Rhinolophus ferrumequinum: one gene and its partners. The protein of the gene in region 1 interacts with the protein of each later gene in a pairwise test. Links are inferred from orthologs where the notes say so. Each region holds a gene or a part of one and is shown in the gene's direction. Other genes may lie near its edges.

Region 1 (7,326 bases):
AAACTGGTTGACAGACAAGAAGTTGTTTCATCTTCGTAACTGCCATGGACAATGATTCGAGACACGATAAACTTCCTTCCCCCAGCCCACACGGCGCCCCCATCTCGTCCTCCTGTCTTGCCTGCACTGCCCCCGTCACCCCCGCCCGATTCTCTACACTCTGCTCCAGTCCTGCGCCTTTCTCTAAGTTTCTCACATTTGCCAAGCTCCCTCAAGCCAGAGGGCTCTGTAAATGCTATTCGTTCTGCCTGGAACACTCTTCCCTCACCTTCTTGCTCTCTCAACTTCTATTTACGCTTCAGACATCAGGGCAAATGCCACTTCTCAGGGGCCACTCTGATGGAGCCTCATTTCTCTCTCAGGCTCTCAGAGCCCCGTGTTTCTCTTCTCATGGGGCTTGTTGCCACTGCCATTTCCCTGTGTGTTTGTGTGAATGTGTAACGAAGATTATCTCCCCTCAACAGACTGGACAGTGTCTGTTTCTGATTATCTTTACACTGAATCCCCAGGACCTAGTTAGTGCCTGGTACTAAAGAGACAGTCAAATGATTTTTGAATAAAATGAAAATTACATGTACCTTAGTGCTGCAGTATTTTAAATTATTACCTGCTAATGCTTTCACTGTTTCTCTAAAATAATTCACAGTAATATCCTGAATAGAGACTATAGCTTCTTCAGCCCGTCTAGTCCATTCTTGGGCTTCCTTCTGCAAGGCCACTATCCTTTTAGGACCTAGGTCATCTTCATCCAAGGATTTCTATAGAAAGAAGGGAAAATTGTTTGAGGAAGAAAGAATGGTAATGTACAGCCATTAGGAAATTGGAAGCAAACTGGTCAAGTGGATTATTTCAACTACTTTTATTACTACTACTTAAGTCAATAAAATTTCATTAACTCAGCAATTCCTTACTGAGAATGAATACAGCTCATCCAGCATCCAGTTCTTCTGCAAAGCTAGTAATATAAGACATATACCCGGGTTCACTATTAGGGAAATGTAAATCCAAACTATAGTGAGGTACCCCTTCACATCCACTCACATGGCTGTCATCAAAAAGACAGAATAACAAGTGTTAGTGATGATGTGGACAAACTGGAACCCTCCTTTACTGCTGGTGGGAATGTCAAGTTGGGCTTTTGCTTTGGAGAACAGTCTGGCAGTTCGTTTAAAAGTTTAAGCATAGAGTTAGTTACCTTATGACCTAAGCAATTCCACTCGTAGGTATATATCCAAGAGAAATGAAAACATATGTCCACATAGAAACGTGTACACAAATGTTCATAGCAGCATTATTCATAATGGCCAAAAAAGAGGAAACAACCCAAATGTCCATCAACTGCTAAGTGGATAAGTAAAATGTACTGTATCCATATAGTGAATACTTGGCAGTACAAAGACATGAAAGTCAGATACCTACTATAACATGCATGGACCTTGAAAGCATGCTACATGAAAGGAGCCAGACACAAAGGACCACATATTGTATGAGTCCATACAACATGAAATATCCAGAATAGGGAAATCCGCAGATGCAAGAAAGTAGCCTGGTAGTTACCTGGGGGTGCGGGGGAATGGGGAATGGGGAATGACTGCTAATGGGTATGGAGTTTCTTTTTGGGCTGATGAAAATATTCTGGCATTAGATGGTGGTGATGGTTGCACAATTCTGACTATACTAAAACCCACTGAATTGTGCACTTTAAATTGGTGAATTGTATGGTCTGTGAATTATATCTCAATAAAACTGTTATTTAAGGAAAGAAAATATATATTCAGAAACTAAAGATTATTCAAATAAGACTTTCAAAATAATCAATAGAACAACTTTCTCCACAGATTAGAGTGGCAGGAGTTTCATCTAAACACAATGCCATTTTTACAGTACAGTGGACTCGTGGGGGCTGTGAGTACATGTGGGGAAGGATGGCCCAGGGCAGGGGACAGAGATCAAGCGATCTCTCTGTCTTCTGATTACTGTGGAGTGAGACCAAGGAAAGCTATTGAAGCCCTCTGGGCTCTAGCGTCATTTTTAATACTGGATGAGAATGCCTGTTTTAATTAGTGTCACAGGGTTGTTCCATGGCTCAGTGAAATTAGATGCATTTACTAAAGTTTAAATTACCGAATTACAATTCAGAGCCTTGCTATTTAACATTTTATCTTATTTCTAAGAAATATGCATGTGTCCTTAGAGGTGGAAAATAATAAGCATCACATCAAAAACAAATCGTCAGCAAAGAACGTGTTTAACCTTTGAAAATCTGTGGAAATCTTAATGTAGTAAGAAGATGACCAATGTAAAACGTCTTCATTTCTTATCAATTTTTAAAAATAAAATGAACATATCTACAACATCATCTAAACATTAAGGGTGAACCCAATGGGCAGAGATTGAATCTTAAATGTGACTAAAGAAGTAATATGTGACAAACAGTAAATCTGATAAAATAAAGACATAAAGCAAACATACCAAAATATCAAGCTTACATGAAGTCGCAACTTCTCGCATATCTCTAAAGGGCTGCAGTAAATACTGGAAGAACATGGTTGCCATGGTAACTAATTCCTGGTACACTTCATCTTCTTCTCGATAAACTTCCATTAATGCTACCATGGTGCTTGCTTTTTCATGCCCTTGAAGAATCTGGAAGGCAAAAATGTAAATAAGGCTCGAGTTTGGACAGTATTTAGGAGACCACACCAAACGAACAAAACTAAACAAAAGAAACCCTCATGTTGTAAACTTGAATACATTGGGGGAAAGCAGAATTCAAAATTTTATCTCAACTTCGTACAGAGAAAAGGGCGCGCAAGTCATCAAATATTAACAGTGGTTATCTCTGGATTGTAGATTGTGGATGATACTTTTTCATCACTTTTCGATGACTAGTTTTGCGAGGCTGTACTCCGTTTTTAAATCTCACGAGGACGTTACAGAGTTGCGTCCAAGTATGCCGTCACGTAGACTCCCTCAATTCCCAAGGTTTATAGCGCCATGAAACCCCCAGCAGAGTAGACTCATTTACAGTCACAGCAGTGACTCTAGTCTCTGCAAAGCACTTCTGATACTGAGCATTTATGATAAACAACTCATAGTGATAATGATAAACTCGTTTGGTAAGAATTATCCCCAGGAGAAGAGAAATAAAATCAATAGTATAGAATTTTTTTTTCAATCAATACATCCTTAAGTTATTCTGTTTCCACCCCTCTACTGAATTCTTCTCTTATGCCTCCTGTTCCTCAAAAGAATGCACTGAAAACTCATCCAGAGTAAGAATGGCCTCTTTTCCGATATAACAGCCTGCTCTGCCAATATTGTCAGTGAAAGGAGTTAAGGTCCACTCTGGCTCCCAATTGCTCCGATTTACTCTAACTCGTTCTCTCTCTGCGCCTTCCGCGCGTCCCCGCAGCATACCCCTGGCTGCCCTCTGCAGGTGAAGGACACCTGGGACCCTGCGCCCCCTTCTCCACCTCAGACTGAGAACTTGCTCCTCCACAGCGCGAGCCTGGTTGAAAAACCCCACTCTCGCCCTTGAGCCCCTCTGATGGCCCGGACACTAAAGGGAGAGGTGGCAGGGGGCCGGCGCGCATACCTGCTGCAGCCGCGCGCCCGCCTCGGCCCACCGCGCGCGCAGGGCGCGCTCCCGGAAGGCGCGCGGGCTCTCGCAGTCGGGCGCGCCGCCGTCGGCCGGAAGGAGCGCATCACGCACGGCCGCGGCGCCGCAGCCGTCGGCCGCCTGGCCCAGGTAGCGCTCCAGCCGCACGCACAGCTCCTGCAGGGCCGCCTCGCCGGGGCTCGCACGCGCGGGCCACACCAACGCCCACAGGCCCCAGGCCCCGCCGCCGCCTGCCTCCAACTCCGGCGGCAGCGGCGGGAAGCAGCGCTCCAGCGGCGGCCACAGCGCCGCCAGCTGCCGGTGCGCGCCTTGGAGCCCGGCGGCCGAGAGCAGGCCCGCCCAGCTGGGCGGGGGCGCGGGCTCGGGCTCGGGCTCAGGCTCGGGCTCAGGTGGGGACCCCTGCCGGCTCCCCTCGCGCCGCCGCCGACGCCGCTGCGCCGTGCGGTCGTGACAGGTCACCGCGAACTTGCCCTCCTTGTCGTTCCAGGCCACGAGGAAGCGCAGCTGGTGCCGCTCGGGCTCGGCGAAGAGGTCCTCGCGGACCGGCACCCAGCCCTCCAGGCTGTCGGGCTGCTCGTCCTCCATGGCACCGGCGGTCAGCGGCCGGAGGGCTCGGCTCGCCGGGGCCTGGCCTCCTCACAGCCCCCGCTACAGGACCGTCCACGCCGCGACATTTTTCGCTGGACCGTCATCGCGTCAGTGCCCCACGACCGCCCCTCCGGCACTTTTGATTGGCGGCCGGCGCTGGAGGCTTCCAGAGGCTTCCGGGATTGGCCGGGTGACAGAGGGAGGGTCCGCGACAACCAATGAAAAGGCCAAAGGTCTGCCTGGGACCCAGCCCTGGGAGTCAATCACTGTCGCAAAGTCCCCTGGAGTCCTGGAATTCCCACTCTTGCCTCACCTTTAATACCTTTGTACTTACTGACGTGGGAAAGGTATTTGTGAAACAAGTTACTGTGAGCTCTTGAGAATCGGGCCCCAGCTGATAACTTCTGTCGTCAGGGCCCTAGTGAATTCATGGTTCCTGCTCTCAAGGAAGGTACACACTTGTTGGAGAGAGCAAACATTAAATTAAACAGAAGTTATGTATTGAGACCTTCAAAGCGCAAGCACTGGCTACGAGCCACACATTTATTGTCAATTCAACAAGCTTTTTGGAGGGTCTGCTGTGTGCCTGTTTGGGGGCGGGGCAGGGACGGAGAGGGGGGCCATACAAAAAGATAACAGTCCTCAAAGCATATTTAATTAAAACCTATCTGCTGACTTCATTTTAGAAATAAGAAAACTGATACCCACCCAGAAAAGAAACTTCACATGATACAGAGACACTCCAGCTAACCAAGACCCCTTGACTACTGAAGACCTGTTTAAGGAAATCGGGAAATCTAGTTTGCCGTGTGAGGATGGAGCGGAACGTGGAGCTGGACCTGTTCACAACGGGGAACAAGACAGCCCTGCTCTGTGCCCAGGTGTGTACCTTCTGCTAGCGCCCATCCTGTGAGTGCCCTGAGTGGGGTAAGGGGGTGGGGGGTAGAGGAGATGCCCAGGGAGCCACGAGGAGCCTCTCACCAAAACAAGGCTGTGCGGTCTCGAGTCAGGAACCAGTGAGGGAGCTTTTCACAGTTTGTGAGCTGGGACAGCCTGAATGAGATTTGCACTTGCTGTTATGCCCAAGGTAAAACAACAACAAATACCCACAAAACAAAACAGGACCCGGCTGGAACTATGGTCAAGGCATGTCTCACCCTTGAAGGTGATCCCAAGGCATCTAGGTCTAAAGTTGCATCTGTCTGAAGGTCCCCCCCAGTTTCATACCTGTGTGGGACTGTGGGCCTTGGACTCAGAACAGCTGCTCTCGCTGACTCAGTCCCTCTTGGAGAGAGAACCATTCAGCTGAAGTGATTTATTTTTCCTCAGACTATTTTTTACTGCATATATTTAGCTAATATGATTTACTTATAATTCTCTAGTAGTCTGTTTAAATACCTTTTAAAATATTTATAGCATGTCTTTTAACTGGATGTTTTATATTTTATCCTTTGTAGTAGTTTTTCTAATTTAGTAGTTTTTCTAATTCATTTCCTTTTTCAAAATGAAGGTAGCAAACTTTCTAATTATAAATTTTCTAATTTGTGTGTATGAGAGGGGGATAAGTTTGTAAATTCTTAGAGAAAAAAAAAAACGGGAAAATAGACAAACCAAATAATTGTTACCCGGATGCACGACTGGTTTATATTCACTTTTGTAGTATTTGCTTGTTTCTAAGCCAAATACCATATATTATTTTACCATAAAAAAGGAAGATTTTTAAAAATTATTAAAAGGTACATATAATTGTTATGAAAACAGACACTATCAAAGATATAAAAAAAAAGTAAAATAACTCAAAAGCAATAAACCCTCCCACATACGTTCTCGTACATACATGATTATACTGTAATGATATGTTGCATACTCTTTTTCTACTTACAAGTATATTGTGGGCATTTCCACATTTAAAAAAGCGGCATCTACATCATTCTTAATAACTTCCAATATTGAATTGACCATATTGTGATTTAATATAGTGAATTAGCCATGATGGACATAGATTTATTTCAATTTTCGGCCTCTGTAGACAATACTGTGATGAACATTCTTGTATACACATCTTTGCATAATTTTTTCTTTCAAGTCTTTTTGCTTTAGACATTTTATTTTGCTTCTAAATTTTTACTTCCTGGGTGCCCTGTAGTAATAGTATCTTAAAAATGAGGTTTTAATTGAGGGCCCAAAAAACAACAGATATAAAATTCTGAGATCAAATCACCATATGCAGACTTTGAAAGGAAATGATCCAGAGCCTGATTCATGCTCTCAGCTGAATGAAGAAAATAAGGGATCAGAAAATAAAAAGAGGATGTTTGGAAGGGAAACTAGTGGTGCGATTTCTTTGGAGAGAGCTGTTGTTGGACTTGGGGGAGGTTTGGAAGTCCCACACTACCCCCAGCTCAGTGAGGGGTCTTCAGAGGGACCTGTCTGAGAGGTTGCTGTCTTTCCTGCAGGTGGGCCAGTGGTGGCCTGAGGCACAAGATTGGCTGCTTAGGTGGCAGAACCAGCGGAGGTGGCCACATTGGGACATCTGCATCCCAGAGTTTGCAGGGGCCTGCTTCCCAGGATGTGGATGTGGGCCAGCAGGAAGCCAAAGCCACCAAGGAGTCACCTAGATGCTGCCTGCGAAAGCCAGCTGCGTGGGTGAGGAGACCTCCTTTGAGAGACCTTGGAGGTGGCCCACCAGGGCTTAGGGGAGGATCCCCCCCCCTCGGAATAGAGAGGTTCTCAGCCTGGTTGTGAGAACTTCAGGGGCAAGGGCTCCATAATGGGAAACTCCAGAAATACAGAAGCTCAGATTCCTGAAAGGGAGAGGGAGAGAGGGAAAGACAGCTCTAAGCTCTATCCGCTCCAGAGCCTGCAGTTAGCTCTCACTGTGACATCAACTCAAATGGGAGCTGTCTTATGCTGCCCTAGCGTCCAAACCAGCAGCTCAGGGAGGAGGTGTGGGTGGGGAGAAGAGGCCCCTCATTCCTCCTGTCCAAGAGAAGGCTTCCAGCGCAAGAGGCCCAAGCTGGGGAGGGGAGAAGATTTTGATGCTGGCTAAACTCAGTGTGACTTTTTGATTAATATATTGAATCATACATTTAATTACTGAATGGGGACTATGCCTT
Region 2 (7,763 bases), on another chromosome or scaffold:
TAAATAAATTATCATTGTTTGTATAACATGATATATATATATCTATAAGTAAAATATATGAATTGTATTCAACAAAATGAAATGGTAATAACAGATATCTTTTTTTTTTTAAATGGCTGCACCCTTCACACAGTCACTCACTTTTTTTTAAAGATTTTATTGGGGAAGGGGAACAGGCCTTTTTTCGAAGTCAAGTTGTTGTCCTTTCAATCTTAGTTGTGGAGGGTGCCATTCAGCTTCAAGTTGTCTTTTCAGTCTTAGTTGTAGAAGGTGCAGCTCAGCTCCAGGTCCAGTTGCCATTGCTAGATGCAAGGGGTGAAGCCCACCATCCCTTTCCGGAGTCGAACCAGCAACCTTGTGGTTGAGAGGACACGCTCCAACCAACTGAGCCATCCAGGAGCTCAGCGGCAATTCAGCTCAAGATGCCCTGTTCAATTTTAGTTGCAGGGGGCGCTGCCTACCATCCCTTGCGGGAGTCGAGGAATTGAACTGGCAACCTTTGTGGTTGAGAGGATGTGCTCCAACCAACAATAGGAGCATGGAGCTCTAACCGCCTGAGCCACCGGGCCGGCCCAACAGATATCTTTTTGAAGGGACAACTTTCTGAAATTCTTACAGTGCTACAAATAACAATTTAATGTGCTTGCTAAAATTGTAAATTACCGATCCTTAATTAACTTTAAGACTAGGCAAACGAATAAGTTAACAAATAACTAATCTTTTGATGCTTGGACAATTTCTAAGTAAAAAGCAGATAAGAAAACCACATTGGTTACTAAATATAATTTGTTATTTATTACAATGGCAATGGATTAACAAAATATACAAATGTCTCTTGGTTATATGATATATATATATATATATATACACATATATATATATGAGGTATGATCAAAAACATGGTGAATGTTTACATAAAAAAATGATTAAAGTAAAAGACACATTGCCATTAATCCCCTTCAAAACACTCCCTCTTGCTTCGAACACACTTATGCCATCATTCTTGCCACTTTCTCAAGCTGTGCTAGAAGTCCTCTGGCAGTCGTGGCTGCCTCGATGTCCTGAATCGATTCAAAAAGTTTACCTTTCTTGGTCATTTTGACTCTGGGGAAGAGCCAGAAGTCACATAGTGCCAGATCTGGTGAATAAGGTGGATGAGGACACACTGTAATGTTTTTGACAGAAATTGCCGTGCCAACAGCAATGTGTGACATGGAGCGTTGTCATAATGGAGGATGAAACCGTTTGTCCACTTCATGTTAATACATTGTTTGTGATCCATGATTTATAGCACACTTTAAAACACACCTTCTCTCAACCGTAGCTCACACCTGATTGACTGCACCGAACAAGTTGAAACTTGTCACACACTGTTACTAAGGTTCCACGCACCGCTTCCCTTATTGGAGATCCCTGCCTTTCTGTTGAATGGCACTCGGCAGCAGCATTCACTGTATTTTTTAATCAAACCTTATATGTGTGCTTATTTTTACAACCTCAAAATTGTTAAAATAATATAAAACGCACATTAATAGAACAAAATCGCTAAGCAATTATAGTTTTCTGTCTTCTGATATTCTCTTTTGTTTGGAGAAGAAGATGGTTACTTGGTTAATATGATTATTTATATGACTGGTTGACTATATTAGGTGACAATAATTACAGAGAAATACAAGATTGTATGGAAGACAATCGATATAATTTTCTGTTTATTAAGAGTTGTTATTATTTATGAAGATGTTAAATTTAATATGATATCTACATTGTTTTATTTAATGTGTATATGTTAAGGCTATAGTTTAAATACTTTAAATATATTATTTGTATATTTATGTATTCATTCATGCCTAAATACACATGCATATAAAGGTATACTCATAAATTTTATATAGTAGGTAGTTATGTGAATAATGTACAAAAGAGTAAAATTAGAATTTGAGTCTTGTTTTCTGTAGAAGAATTCAATTATTATGTGCCCAAATTAGTAGAGGTTCCTTTATGTCACCAAAATATTTGGTAATTGTCAGTGCTAACATATTCTTAAATGACTTTGAAAAAATTCCTTCCTACTTTTGAAAAGATTTATTTTCTAATACCATTGCTGTATCTCGCTATGCTTTTACAGTATTGCCTAAAAATATTTCTTGTCTTTGGATACTTATAACTTAATATTCGTTTACTCTAACAACTACTCTTAATTTTGTTTTTTCTCAGTTTAGGACCCAGATTCAGAATAATGCCTAAATGCTCATCAGCTCTCCCAAAATGGCCATTGAGGAAAAAAAGAATTGCTCCTTTACACATGAAAGGTCAAGAAACATAATTAGATTTTTTTCATAATTCCTCAAATTTTAAAAAAATTATTATGAGAAATCATTATTTACAAGATGTAGGAAAAAACTAACAATGCAAAAAGACAGGTAAATTATACATAAACAAAATGTGTTAATATAAATCTTTCAATGATTGTAGTATACTTTTCAAGTTAAAAAGAAGCCAGTCTATCAAAATATTTTGTTTCCAGGATTCTAGATTCAAAAATCCTGTTTTGTTTTTGTTCATGAAAGGTCTGAAGACATGTACTGATTCTTCAGAGGTTTATTACTTAGTTAAGTCTTTCATTAGATCCAATAGCCAAAGTGCACCCATCTCATCTAAGAGCTGTAACAAACAGTGGCAAAACATTTGAAAGCTTCCACTGACTGTTCTAGAGTCTCCGCTGAAACTAATTGTTCCCCAAACCACGCAGAGGTTTTTATTGACAAGAAAGACTCCACACTTCTCAGCTGGCCGCCTAACCTCCTATAAAATACGGTTATTTCCCTTGCACACTACTGTCCATTACCACAACATTAAACCCAGTCACTCTCATTCCCTTACCAAATAGAAGGATAACCCCATCTCTGATTACCTCCTTAGGAAACTACCCATAATACAGCAGGTCCTCAAATGACATCGTTTCCTTCAGGGCCTTTTGGTTATAACGTTGATGAGAAAAAAAATGTATTTCGGTGAGGGCCACTGTCCGGGCGGAGTGTGTACTTCCTCCCACAGCCCAAAGACATGCAGGAGAGTATAGCTGGCTTGTCTTCATTGCCCCAGTCTGAGTAACAAATGTGAGATATACCTGTGTTAAGAAACATGAACAAAAGTATGGCAAACATTTCCCCACTCCTTGATATCAGTTCAGGGCGTGTGTGGTGGAAGCCATCCCTGCAGCTAACTCTGAGGACCCGGTGGGTAGGGCAGTCTTCTGTCAGAGGGCCCATACTTGCATCTACCCACACTCACACTGGTACAGTGTATACTCATCAGTGAACTCCACCAGCATACCTTTGGGACATGGGAGGAAACAAGAGTCGACAGATTCCCTGGGGAAAACTCATGCAGACATGGGGATGAGCTGCAAATATCACAATGGCCTGATTGGACTCCAATTTTTTATTTTTCCTCTCATCAACATTGTAAGAAAACAACGTTGAAAAAAAAAGTTGAGGACCTGCTGTGGGGACAGAGTCCCAGAGAGCAGTTTCCAGGCTCTCAGCCTCGCGTGGAAAGGTGGTGGCTCGGGTAGTAGATGGTCATCAGCTGTGACTGGTTGGCCATTGGCTGTAACCAGTTAGCCATTAGCCACCGATATAACTGCCATGGCTACGCTGGCAAGCGGGTGGGCTGGTTGGCAGAGAAGCGGACGGCAGGTTGCAGATCGTGTGGCTCCTGCTTCCTGTGTCTCCAACCCAGCCGCCAGCAAGAATATAGTGGGATGACTCCCCTCTCTATGGCTCCATTGGTGTTCCATTTTGGCCTCACCATGTCCTGCGTTCTCGTGCAGGGAGCGGGACCAGGGTCCCTGCATTACACCTGTTGTATATTGAATTTATAGCACTGTTTCCAGGACAGCAAGGATACCCTGGAGCCTTATGGATGCCAAAAAAAAAAAAAAAAAGTAATCCAAAAGTGTTCTGATTCAGACAGTTTGGGGTTCGAGTTCTCTAAATTTCCTATTGGCATATTGGAACAGAACCATTTAAATGTAGCCCTTTGGTGCCTGTGGGGGAGAAACAGGACGCAGGACGGAAAAAGTCACCATGTAAGGAATTGAAGGGGAAGGGCCCACATTTATGACATTTTGATGATTTGCTGGACCCTTTCACCTAATTCTCATACGAACTCCATGTTCTCCAAGACCCAATTGATGCTGTGAGAAGGTACATAGCTTGACCAAGTCCGGGATTGCTCTCCGCTGGACTCGGTCTTTTCCAAGATGCTAATCAGCCTCACACCAAAAACAACCCGAAACCTCGCTCTTCCAGAGGCCATTCGCTAGGCCTGGTTCGACCTAGGTGGGAAGGTAATCCTAGCGTCCTGCAAACCTTTTGCCAAGTTCCATCCCCAAAGCAGGGACGGCGAGCTTTCGGCCGCACTCAAAACGGGCGACGGGTCCCTCCGCGCGCGCTCCAGGAAAGGAAGCGCGGAACCTCTACGCAGGTGCGCGCGCACCTGTCGCTCGCGGAGCCCCAGGCAGCGGTGGGAGGGGCGGCGGGGCGGGGGATGAAGCACTTGCTCCGCGCGCCTGCGCCCGGCGATGTTTCCCGTACGTGCGTCGTACGTGGTGGCCGCGTCCCTGCGCTCCGAGGTGCGGGCCGGGAGTCGGGCCCGGGCCGGCTGGGAGTCTGGGAGGGGCGTTTTCCTGGGCGGTGGCGACGCCCCCTGGCGGCGGCCGCGCAGCGCGGGAGGCACGCAGTCAGGCGATCTCCGCGGGCAGCCTGCGGTGGGGCCTTGCTTCCTAGCGCGGGGTCCTCGGCGGCCTGGGTGGCTACTGCCCCTGCTGCTGGCGTAGGCGAGGACGGCTGCGAGTGCGGCTGCAGTTGGTTCGCGGCGGCGGCGACGGCGGCAGCGGAGGAGGAGGAGAACCAGGCGACAGGGGAAGAAGGAGGCAGGCGCGGCGGCGGCGGCGGCGGCGTCCGGGGCCGGCGGCGGAGAGGGGGGTGAAGATGGCGGACGTGCTCAGTGTCCTGCGACAGTACAACATCCAGAAGAAGGAGATTGTGGTGAAGGGAGACGAAGTGATCTTCGGCGAGTTCTCCTGGCCCAAGAATGTGAAGACCAACTATGTAGTTTGGGGGTGAGTCCGGCAGGGCTGTGGCCGGGCAGAGTCGGGCGCCCCCAGGCGACCTCTTTCCCGGCCCCTCCCCCCGGTCCCTTCGGGGATGGGGAAAACGGGGGCTCGGGGAAAAGTTTCTCTCTGGAGTGGAAGTTACACTTGTAGGTGAGGAGGGAGAGGTGGGAGCTGCGTCTGGAGTGGTCCATCCCATGAAGTCTTGGGGGAGCTGAAGGGAAAGGTCCTGGGGCAGTTTGTGAGTCGCCCGGTTCGTTTGTCGCGATGTGGACGGAGGGCTAGCACCGCGTATAGGTGCGTGAAGGAGGAGCGTCCCGTCCGTCCCCGGAGACGTGTCTTTTTGTTCTTGAGGGTTTTTTTTGTTGTTTGTTTTGTTTTGTTTTTTGTTTTGTCTCTTTCTCTGGCCAAGGCTGCCCTGTGTTGCTAACTAGCTCCGCTGACCCTTGCAGCTCCTGGTCTGTTTCTTCTCCTTTTGCGATTCCCTCGAGAAGATAGAAGGGCACCAACTCTGTGGAGTTAGGACGGGAAAGAGGTTTGGTCCCTTTGGACGAGTGATCCAAATACGTTGGAAGTGAAGGCAGGAGTTTCCTCAGGGACGAAGCCGCTGGGGAGATAGAGTGAGGTTTGCAGGTCTGAGTTAGAAATGGATGGGGTCTGTGATTTGGGGAAATGTGTTTTCAAGAGAAATGTTTGGGGACCTTGATCCACGTGCGGTGCCCTGAATTTAAGTCATTAAGAAAACATCGAGCCAGAGGTCTGATCATCGTTTGGGCCTTTTTAGTGATGGGTCTCTCATTGGTGGTGTTTTGTGGGGATACATAGGACCTTGGGCCAGAACGTCCATACTCTTTTTGTTTGATTGCATGGAAGTAGTGCGCTTTATGAAGGGTTGAAGAAAAACTAGGGGAAATTCAGGTGGTTGGTTGTTCTTTGTTTTTTGTTTTTCTGGCTTGAGGGCTTGGGATTTAATTAGCTTTATGGAATGTTAAAAATGACATCATTCCGATTTTCCTGTTTTGTCCATTCAGAAGGATTTGCAGACTGGATTACACTTTTAAACTGGAGTTTTAACTGTGTATTTTTTTTTTCCTTCAGTGGTTCAGGAGTACTCAGGGTGTTGGGCAGTCCAACCTGAGAAATGGAAACTTCTTAGGACGCTGGTCCCTGCCTCAAAGGAGGGTCAGCTAATCAGAAAAGAGGAGATGAAACCTGCTCTAGGTCTTAGGACAAGACCCCCAATACCCCTTCTAGCTTGGGGTATCGGGAAAGTTTTCATGGACGTATATTTGGCATGTAGACATGCGACCGATTTTTCTTGCATAAATGAATGAACAGGTAAATAAGCTTTAAAGAATGGGTAGGAATTCTGAGGTGAAATGGTGGATTAGGTCTTTAAAGACAAGAGAACTGTATTAAAAGGCACGCATGCTGGAAAGGAAATGTTTTGAGAGCAATTTAGTGAAAAAGGAGTGCTTAGAACAGTAGATTTCAAACTTTTACAGCAGTGAATCACACCAATAAATATGTCTTCTTTCATTATTAATGTTTGGGTGCGTATGTAAATCTGTACACGTTCATGACATTGAACAATACTTTATCGCATACAGTACATTCTGTTTGTTATTTTGCTTTTCTATATCATAAAAAACCCCTGGTTGTTACCCATATTTTAGATTTCATAGTGCAATAATTGACAGTGGTGTGTGGTTTGAAATACATAGATTTAGAGGACAAGTGGAAATAGAGGCTGGACAATGAGGTTTGGGGCTGATTACACTGGGCCATGTTCAAGTGAATTCAAATGCTTGGACATTTCTAGACGGGGAGAAGGTTGTAGGAGGGGTGGGGTTGGACACTAATGTTTGTTGAGCAAGTAGTAGTACGTTCCTGTGGTAAGTATCTTGCACCCCTAGACTACGTTGTTTTATCGCAGGTAGAATTCATTTTGGTTTTGGGTCATTGGTTTAATTTGAAGCATGTGATTAAGACTTATACCTCAGAAATTAATTGTTGTGTTCATTACTTAGGAGACGTAGACATAGGATAAATTTCTTGTAAGTTTAGCACCAGTAACAGTTGTGCTTCTTTTCTTCTTTTCAGTCTATTTTTCTATGAATCCTCTCTAGTGTGTTACCGATTAGGTTTCTCTATTGACAAAGTCCAGAACCTAATTTGGGCCAAATATTAAAAAGTATATATAATGTCTTAGAGTAGGAATGTGTGTGCTTTCCTTCTTGCTTTTTGCCATTGTCTACCTTTGTGTTCCTTTTGCCCTACCTAACCTAACGACGATTCCACTTTCTAGATTTCATACTTTGTATTTTTGTTAGCCATCTTAATTCCATTCTATTGTTGGATAGCAAAGTGGGTGTAGGTAAATTAAGACACATAAGTAAGCCCTACGAGTTGAAATAGAATTGTGAGTAAAACTCTTGCCATGATTCTTTCAGGACTGGAAAAGAAGGCCAGCCCAGAGAGTACTACACATTGGATTCTATTTTATTTTTACTTAATAATGTGCATCTTTCTCATCCTGTTTATGTCCGACGTGCAGCCGTAAGTAGAATTTATTTTAAAACTTTATTGATTTAATTGATGGTAGGTAGCATTTGACATGGATGATGTCCCTCATGGATTTCCGATG
Region 3 (7,260 bases), on another chromosome or scaffold:
TTAAATGCACGTTGCTAAGTGAATGAAGCCAGTCTGAAAAGGTTACATACTGTAATGTGATTCCAACTATACGACATTCAGGAAAAGGCAAATGTGCAGACAGTACAAAGTCAGTGGTTGCCAGGGATGAGGGGGTAGAGCTAATGACTAAATCGGTGGAACACAGAGGATTTTTAGGGTGATGGAACGATGCTGTATGACCCTATAACGGTGGATGCATGACATCATGCATTTGTCCAAACCTATATAGTGTACAACACAAAGAGTGAAACTTAATGTAAACTATGGACTTTACCGTGTTTCCCTGAAAATAAGCCCTCACTGAAAAATAAGCCCCAATATGATTTTTCAGGATGACATCCCCTGAACATAAGCCCTACTGTGTCTTTTGGAGCAAACCTTAATATAAGACCTGGTCTTATTTTTGGAAAAACACGGTAGTTAATAACAGTGTATCGATGTTGGCTCCCCAATGATACAAAACACAGCACAGTAATGCAAGACATTAGTAACAGAGGAAGCTCAGAGGGAGGTATCATGGAACTGTTATGGGAACGCTAAACTAGCTTTTCAATTTTCCTGTAAATCTAAAACATAAAGACAATTTTTTTTTCTAACAGCTAGTTCAAAGGAGAAATCAAAGTGCGGTGAAACTGTCAGAAAAGGTGTCATGAAAGAAGTGAAGCCTTAGCTGGGTCCTAGAGGGTACATAGGATTTCTAGAGTTAGAAAGGACAGGGCATTTCAGCTGGCATTGAGGCATGAAAAAGACTCAGAGGGCTCAACTTGCAAAGGAGCAGGAAACAACACAGAAGAAATCAATGCAAAGACAGGCAGGGATTTAATGGAAGCTAGGGGCCAAGGCAAGGCCTTGAGCCTCCAAGTGCTGAAGCAGAAATAGAGGCGTGGCAGCAGACTTGACCCAAGCTGGATCCTCAACATATATTCATTCAATAAATATTGAGTGGGCACCTACTGGGTTCCAAACATGGTAGGAGGCACCAGGGACAAGTAGTGAAAGAAAGAAAGAAAAATCTCTGAGCTCCAGTCCTAGTGACAGGAGACAGAACCTGCCTGGTGGTTTTGTGTTTTCAAGAAACAGCAAAGAAGCCAGAATGCCTGGAATGGAATGAAGGAGGGAGGGAAAAGGTGAGATAAAGGAGATAATAGAGGTCGGAGTGTGTAGGGCAGGGAGGCCAGAATAAATAAGGATTTTGACTTTTACCCTAAGGCCTTTAGCGAACAAGTGGAGGGTTTTGAGTGGCAGAGTGACTTGACTGACACCTGAATAGGGTCACCCTCTCTTCTGCCTTGAGAATAATGGATAAGAGTGGCTGCGGGGAGACCAGACAAGTTGGTGTCATAATACATGTAAGAGAAGATGGTCGCTCATGCCATGGTTTTAGCAGTGCAACCGGTGAGCAATAATAGAGTGTGGACTCCGAAAGTATTTGCTGATAGATTCGATGTGCGAGAGAAAGAGAGGGTCAGAGTGAGTCAGTTTTAGGCCTGAGCAACTAACTCGAGGACGGGGTTGCCAGTGATTGAGAGAGAGTAGGGGAGGAGCAGACTCACAAGCAGGCTTGAGCCCATGTTTGAATTCAGCTGAGCTGTCTTGAAAGGGGCCATTTCAAGAGCTAGAGGTCAGAGCAAGGCTGAGGCTGAGGCTGAAACCCGAATTTAAGCGGACAAGACTAAGTCACAGTACATCCTGGGAGGAAGGATAGGCATGTTGATTCAGTGAAGATTTCCTAAAACTCAACCACTTTGTATGTGCCAGAGACGCAAAGGTAAGAAAGACATCTTTCCTGAATGGAAGGAACTCACAGTCCAAGGAGGGAAAAGGAAGTACAAGTAAATGATTCTAGTACATTAGGCATCATAGTCCAGCTATTCAACACTTACTGAAGCCCTGCTCTATGCCAAGCGGTATGGTGAAGAAGCAGGGGCTGTGAATAAAGTTCTATAAGAGCACAAAATAAATTCTTGCAAAGGATCGCAAAGACATGCACAAGGGTTTTCACCAGCGTAACATCAGGCAGTTGGCAGTAACCTAGACACCCATCGCTAGGGAAATGTATCAGTAAAATCGATGGAATACTCAGCAGCAGTTGGAAGCCAAAATACAGGTGTACGTGCAGCAATATGGGTTAGCTTAAGAATGTGGTGTTAAGTGCAAACAGCGGGAAACAGATGTATGGTCCAATACCATCTCTAATTGTAAAAGGCATACACAAAACACTACATGTCTTAAATTATCAAGGATCTATAGCAAACATACTGTAGTTAGTGTCTAGAAAAAGAGTGTGCATGGGGATTGAGAAAGTCAAGGAAAAATAAATATAAAATAATATAGTTAAGGGAGGGGTCTTGCAGGGACTGACGGTGACAACGTGCTGAGAATTGAGGAGCAAAGTTAATTCAACATGGCATCTAGGGTAAAATAACTATCTAATAGGAATCCAGCTGATAACCCTCAGGAGAAGGGAATTTCTGGGGGGCAGGCAGAGTGTGAAGAGACCGAAGGCATGAAAGTGCATCGGAGGTTCAGGGAATGGCATCCGGTTGAGTGCGCCTTGTCCTGGTCGTGAGGAGCGATGATATTTGAAAGCCCTGGGTACAGTGAACGACAGCCTACACGTGGAAGGTATTATGGTTCTCATCAATCCCCTTCTATTCCATGGGGGTTAAAGATCACGCTGTGCTCCCAGCCAGCCTATGGTGAGATTTTCTTTCAGCTCTATTGGGGTCTTCACATCTTGTGACTACTCCAGAAACCGGAGTCCAGTGGGGCATTCCTGTTTACGGTGGCCTCAAGGAATGTGACCCTTGGTCCGCTGCTTTAAAGCTGGAGCTCCCCCAGCAGTTAACACTGCTGCTCTGGCTAGGAACGGGGTGGGAAGGGAACTGGAGGCCCAAGGATGCCTCTCGTTCTGGGGCACCAGCCTGGGGCAGTTCACCCCGCCTCCACCAACTCAGTGCTGTCAGTGAACTCTCACTGGTCACATTCCAACCGGAGTCACTTCCCAGCTCTGACCAGCCCTCCCCAACCCCAGACTGGGCCCTGTCTCACTGTCATAGGTGTACCTATGCTGCATAGCCCTTATCACAGTTGCAACTCCATATGAACTCTTCTGATCGTTTGCTTTATGTCCAGCTAGGCCTCGGGGGTCCAAGTTCAATGCTGACAGTCTGTTTCCTTGTTTTCTTCACCAAGGTCTCACTAGCACTTAGCCCAGTGCCTGGCAGTAGGATGGGCTCAAGCAACTTCTCCGTTGGATACAAGCCTTCAAAATGAAACCTAGGTCAAGGTGGATACAGCAGGCTGCAGAGGCAAGGATGAGAACGAGTTGGGGTTTGCTCTTCTGTGGAGGGTGAAGGGTGAGGGCTGCAAGGAAACAGGTGCCTGAGCCCCTGTCGATGTACGTGACTGCCATCCACACGCCCATTACACCCTCTGGTGCAGGGTAGGCGTAAGTGAAATAGTAGGGAAACTAAGTAACTAAATTAACAAGTGTGTAACACATTTTTTACATATGTCAAGTAAAGCTATGAAACTGAATGGAGGGAAGGGAAGCGCATGGATCAGTGCTGGCTCTGAGGCAGGACTAACGTTTCCAGAGGTCCGGACACAATTGCATCGCCTCTCGGAGGACACAGGATGTATCCACAGGAAAGCCCAAAATGTCTTGGGGGAGGGAGCGGCGTTACTCTCACCTTCTGCCTCTAAGGGTCACACAGGCCGGGGTCGCAGTGGTTGCCACTGTTACTAGTTCAAAGTCTTGTCTTCTTCAATCTAATTCTTCACCTTTATTCTTGTGCCCCACTCCAGCTCCACCTCAACCAGGCTCTGCCCCACTTAAACAGAAACAAACCAAAACAAAAACCCTCCACACCCAGCCAGCCAGGACTCAGATAAATGAATGCACTTGATCTTTACGGGAGGCCCTTTCCCACGCCTCCCCTTGCAGGTCTACAGGGATGGGCACTCTAGCCCTCGCCTGGCGACACCAGGCGGCCTGACCTCCGCCAGCAGGTACGACCTGTCGCCGCCCTTCCCGCCTTCCCGCCCTCCTCTAAGTCTGCGCACGCCAAGCCCGCGCGCCTTACGTTGGGCCCGGCCCCTCAGCCGAGTAGGAGCTGCGCGCATGCGTGCGCTCCAGGGCCCGCGCGGAGGGAGAGAGGGCGGGGCCGAGGGGCCGAACCCGCGGGGGGAGGGGCGGCGTCGGTCACGTGATGCGGTTTCACTGTTTACACGCGGAGCGGCTGGAGCGTTCGGCCTCAGTCAGGCGCTCGGCTCCGTTTCGGTTTCACTTCCGGTGAAGGGCCGCCTCGGAGCGGGCGTTGAGCCGACGGCGAGCGCAGGCGGAGGCAGTGACCGCGGCGCCGCTACCGGGGGGCGTGCGGTAGCGCGGCGGCTGGGCCTCGAGCGCCCGCAGCCCACCTCTCGGGGGCGGGCTCCCGGCGCCAGCAGGGCTGTCGAGAAGATGGAGGAGCTGGTGGTAGAAGTGCGGGGCTCCAATGGCGCTTTCTACAAGGTACTTGGCTCCAGGGCCGGCCCCATCTTCGCCCTTCTTTCCCTCCCTTTTCTTCTCGGCCTCGTAGGGAGGCAGGCCTGGGGCCCTCTTCCCGAGCGCCGCGCCCGGGGTCCAGGGCGCGCTAGGTGGGATGTTGTTGGGGAGGGAAGGACCGGACTTGGGGCCTGTAGAAAGCCCCTCGAGCTCCGCTGCCTCTCCTACAAGAGGCCCTGGCGCCTGTCGGAATGAGAAGCGGCAAGGAGGCGAGGGTGCCCTTTCGGGGGACGATCCCTGCCAGGCAGAGCTGGGGGTGGGCAAGGGCCGGCGGCAGGTACGCGATCGAGATCCCGGCGGGAAGGGCCGGTATCCGCGCGAAGTGACGGCAACGGCTTATTTCTCTTTTCCTAAATATTCTCTCCCAGTGGGTTCCGGGCCTGACGTGTGGGTAGTTGCCGAAGAGCGGGGGGCGCTTCCGTCGAGCCGCCTCCTGCCTTGCACAGAGGGTTTGAGATCTCCTTTGGCTTCTGTTTTCCGGTCCAGCATTGGGACTTCGGAGAGCTCCACTGTTCTGGGCAAGGGGTTTGAAGAAAGAGGAGTAAGAAGCTGTAGTCAGTACCAAATCACAATGGCAACTGATTTTTAGTGCCCTCTCTTTGTGGATTTCAGAAGAGATTTTTAGATCCCAAACTTTTCGGAAGATACTTATCCGACTAATGCATTAAAGAAGTTGGCAGTCTTCAATGTTCTCGGCCCCCTCCCTTGTTACAAATGTGGACAAATTCAGGAATACAGATGCTTCAGCATCTAAAATCATTAGCAACTCTGCTACTTAAAAAACAAAATTTTAACCCTCCAAAGACCTGCATACATGCTATCAAACTTCAGGAAATTAACTAAATGTTATTACTAGGGAATTTTTTAAAGTGAGTGGAAACAATTGTTTTGTGCTGTAAGTACTTGACTGTCTTCCCTGAATGTGCAGTGTTGCAGTGGATTGTATTGTGGGGGTTTTAAATAGGCATACATGGTTTACTGTGGGTTTTTCTTTTTTAAGTTACACCTATGCAGATCACTAATATATTACATTTTTAGAAGGAGAATTAAAAATATTTTGACCTATCAGCAGTGCGTCTTGGTACATACCATAGATCTGCTAATCTATAAATTCCCATTTCCTCTTCAATGTCCCTCTATAACTTCAGCAAGTATTATCTCACTTTACTACAGTCTTTTCTCAATAGAAGATGCATATGAAAGGAAGCATGGAAATTAGCTATTGCCATTGTCCAACACGATTCTTACCATTATTACGGGATCACTTAAACGTTTCAGATGAGACCCCCTTTCGCTAAAGGAAAGTAACAAAAATTGACTTACTAACTATGTGTTTACCAATTTTTTGGAAGTATTTGCAAATTAATATATTTCGTAAGTGAGTGAAGCATGTACATGTAAACTGTACCATACATTTAGCAAAAAGATAAAACCTTTCACTGTAAAAGGAGGAGGAAATAATCCAACATTTATGTTCTTAACACTCTCACCAATATAAAATTGTTCCAGGGGACTGGGCAGTCAAAATTTTGGTTGCGTTTATTTCAGTGATTCATAATTTCTGCTGGTTAAGTTTGTGTAGAATTATTCTGGTTCCAAGACTGGTAGTTTTGCTCACTAGATTTGTGACACTATTAATAAATATGAATGGGGCTAATGTTTGAACAGTATCCTAATCTATGACCTTAGTTTAGATCGCATGCCACTATGTATCTTTTAGTGGAGTTTGCTTGCTATAGAGTAGCAAGTAGCACAGCTCGATCTGAAGGATGTATTGTTCTCCAGCAACCTATGTTTGCTCGCATGATTTTGCTTGCAAACTCATTAGAAGATAACAAATGCCCTCTATCTTTGCCAGTAGTCCTCCCTTTTTGTTTTTTAACAAAGTTGCTTAATGTAAAGGTGAATAAAAAAATGGGTTGTCCTGTAGTTCCTTGGGGCTGGGGGGAAGTGAAACTTGAACAAATGTGCTTAAAGAAATTGCTGTTATGTTTATTTAATTCGGTTTGTTTTTAAGAAAATCTCAAATGGTCTGTATTGGTGGAAAAATAGTTTCTATAATGAAGAAGGATTAAAATTTTATAAGACTCAAAATATTGCTGAGTTGCAAAAGTAAACTGAGTTGCTTGTCCAGTGAGATGGGTAGAAAGGATGAGAAATAAAGACCAATAAAAAAAATGAACTGTTATGAAGAAATGTTACATTTATGAAAAAAAGGAACTTGGTTCCTCAAATTGATAGAAAAGCCTTTAAAAACTAAACAACTCAAACGACTTCAGTATAATTGAATTCAGACTTTGATTTGCCTGACAGAACCGCCATATTGCAAAGGACTATTCTCCATCTTCTGAACACATGGCCACCCTTGCAATATACACTGGATAGAGTATATGCTGGGAACAGTTGGATTGTTTCTCTAAAAAATAACTCAAACTCAGGATTCAGAATTAACAGAACCATGAAACCTGAACCCTAAGAGTTTAACAACTCATTTCTATTTTTCCCTCTGGTGTTTATTCTTTAAAACTTGTAAGTTAAATTTAGTAATTGTCAGAGCCACTACTATTATACTTAAGTATTTCTTTGACTTGGAAAAAGGTAGTCACGTGTACAACTTATAGAGCCTTATGTTATTTAAGACATGAAGACACTGGAATTATACCCCACAAAATCTTTACAAAACATTTCCT

The links. The genes of interacting proteins can lie anywhere in the genome.
Region 2: the proteins of FSD2 (region 1) and CDC73 interact in binary tests that used the Homo sapiens proteins (3 or more experiments, as listed by UniProt). The two-hybrid records come from large-scale screens. The link is inferred for Rhinolophus ferrumequinum from reciprocal best matches to the Homo sapiens genes FSD2 and CDC73.
Region 3: the proteins of FSD2 (region 1) and FMR1 interact in binary tests that used the Homo sapiens proteins (3 or more experiments, as listed by UniProt). The link is inferred for Rhinolophus ferrumequinum from reciprocal best matches to the Homo sapiens genes FSD2 and FMR1.

The regions. Positions count from the first base shown.
Region 1 is NC_046311.1:2,941,453-2,948,778, forward strand, and holds the start of FSD2 (fibronectin type III and SPRY domain-containing protein 2), read left to right. Parts: upstream 1-4,307; 5' UTR 4,308-4,443; intron 4,444-4,445; exon of another isoform or gene 4,446-4,557; intron 4,558-4,896; 5' UTR 4,897-5,091; intron 5,092-6,666; 5' UTR 6,667-6,856; intron 6,857-7,326. Other genes in the region: WHAMM (WASP homolog-associated protein with actin, membranes and microtubules), read right to left, coding at 608-758, 2,473-2,646, 3,599-4,207.
Region 2 is NC_046310.1:4,969,148-4,976,910, reverse strand, and holds the start of CDC73 (parafibromin), read left to right. Parts: upstream 1-4,746; 5' UTR 4,747-4,994; coding exon 4,995-5,125; intron 5,126-7,569; coding exon 7,570-7,675; intron 7,676-7,763.
Region 3 is NC_046284.1:10,596,334-10,603,593, reverse strand, and holds the start of FMR1 (fragile X messenger ribonucleoprotein 1), read left to right. Parts: upstream 1-4,243; 5' UTR 4,244-4,486; coding exon 4,487-4,537; intron 4,538-7,260.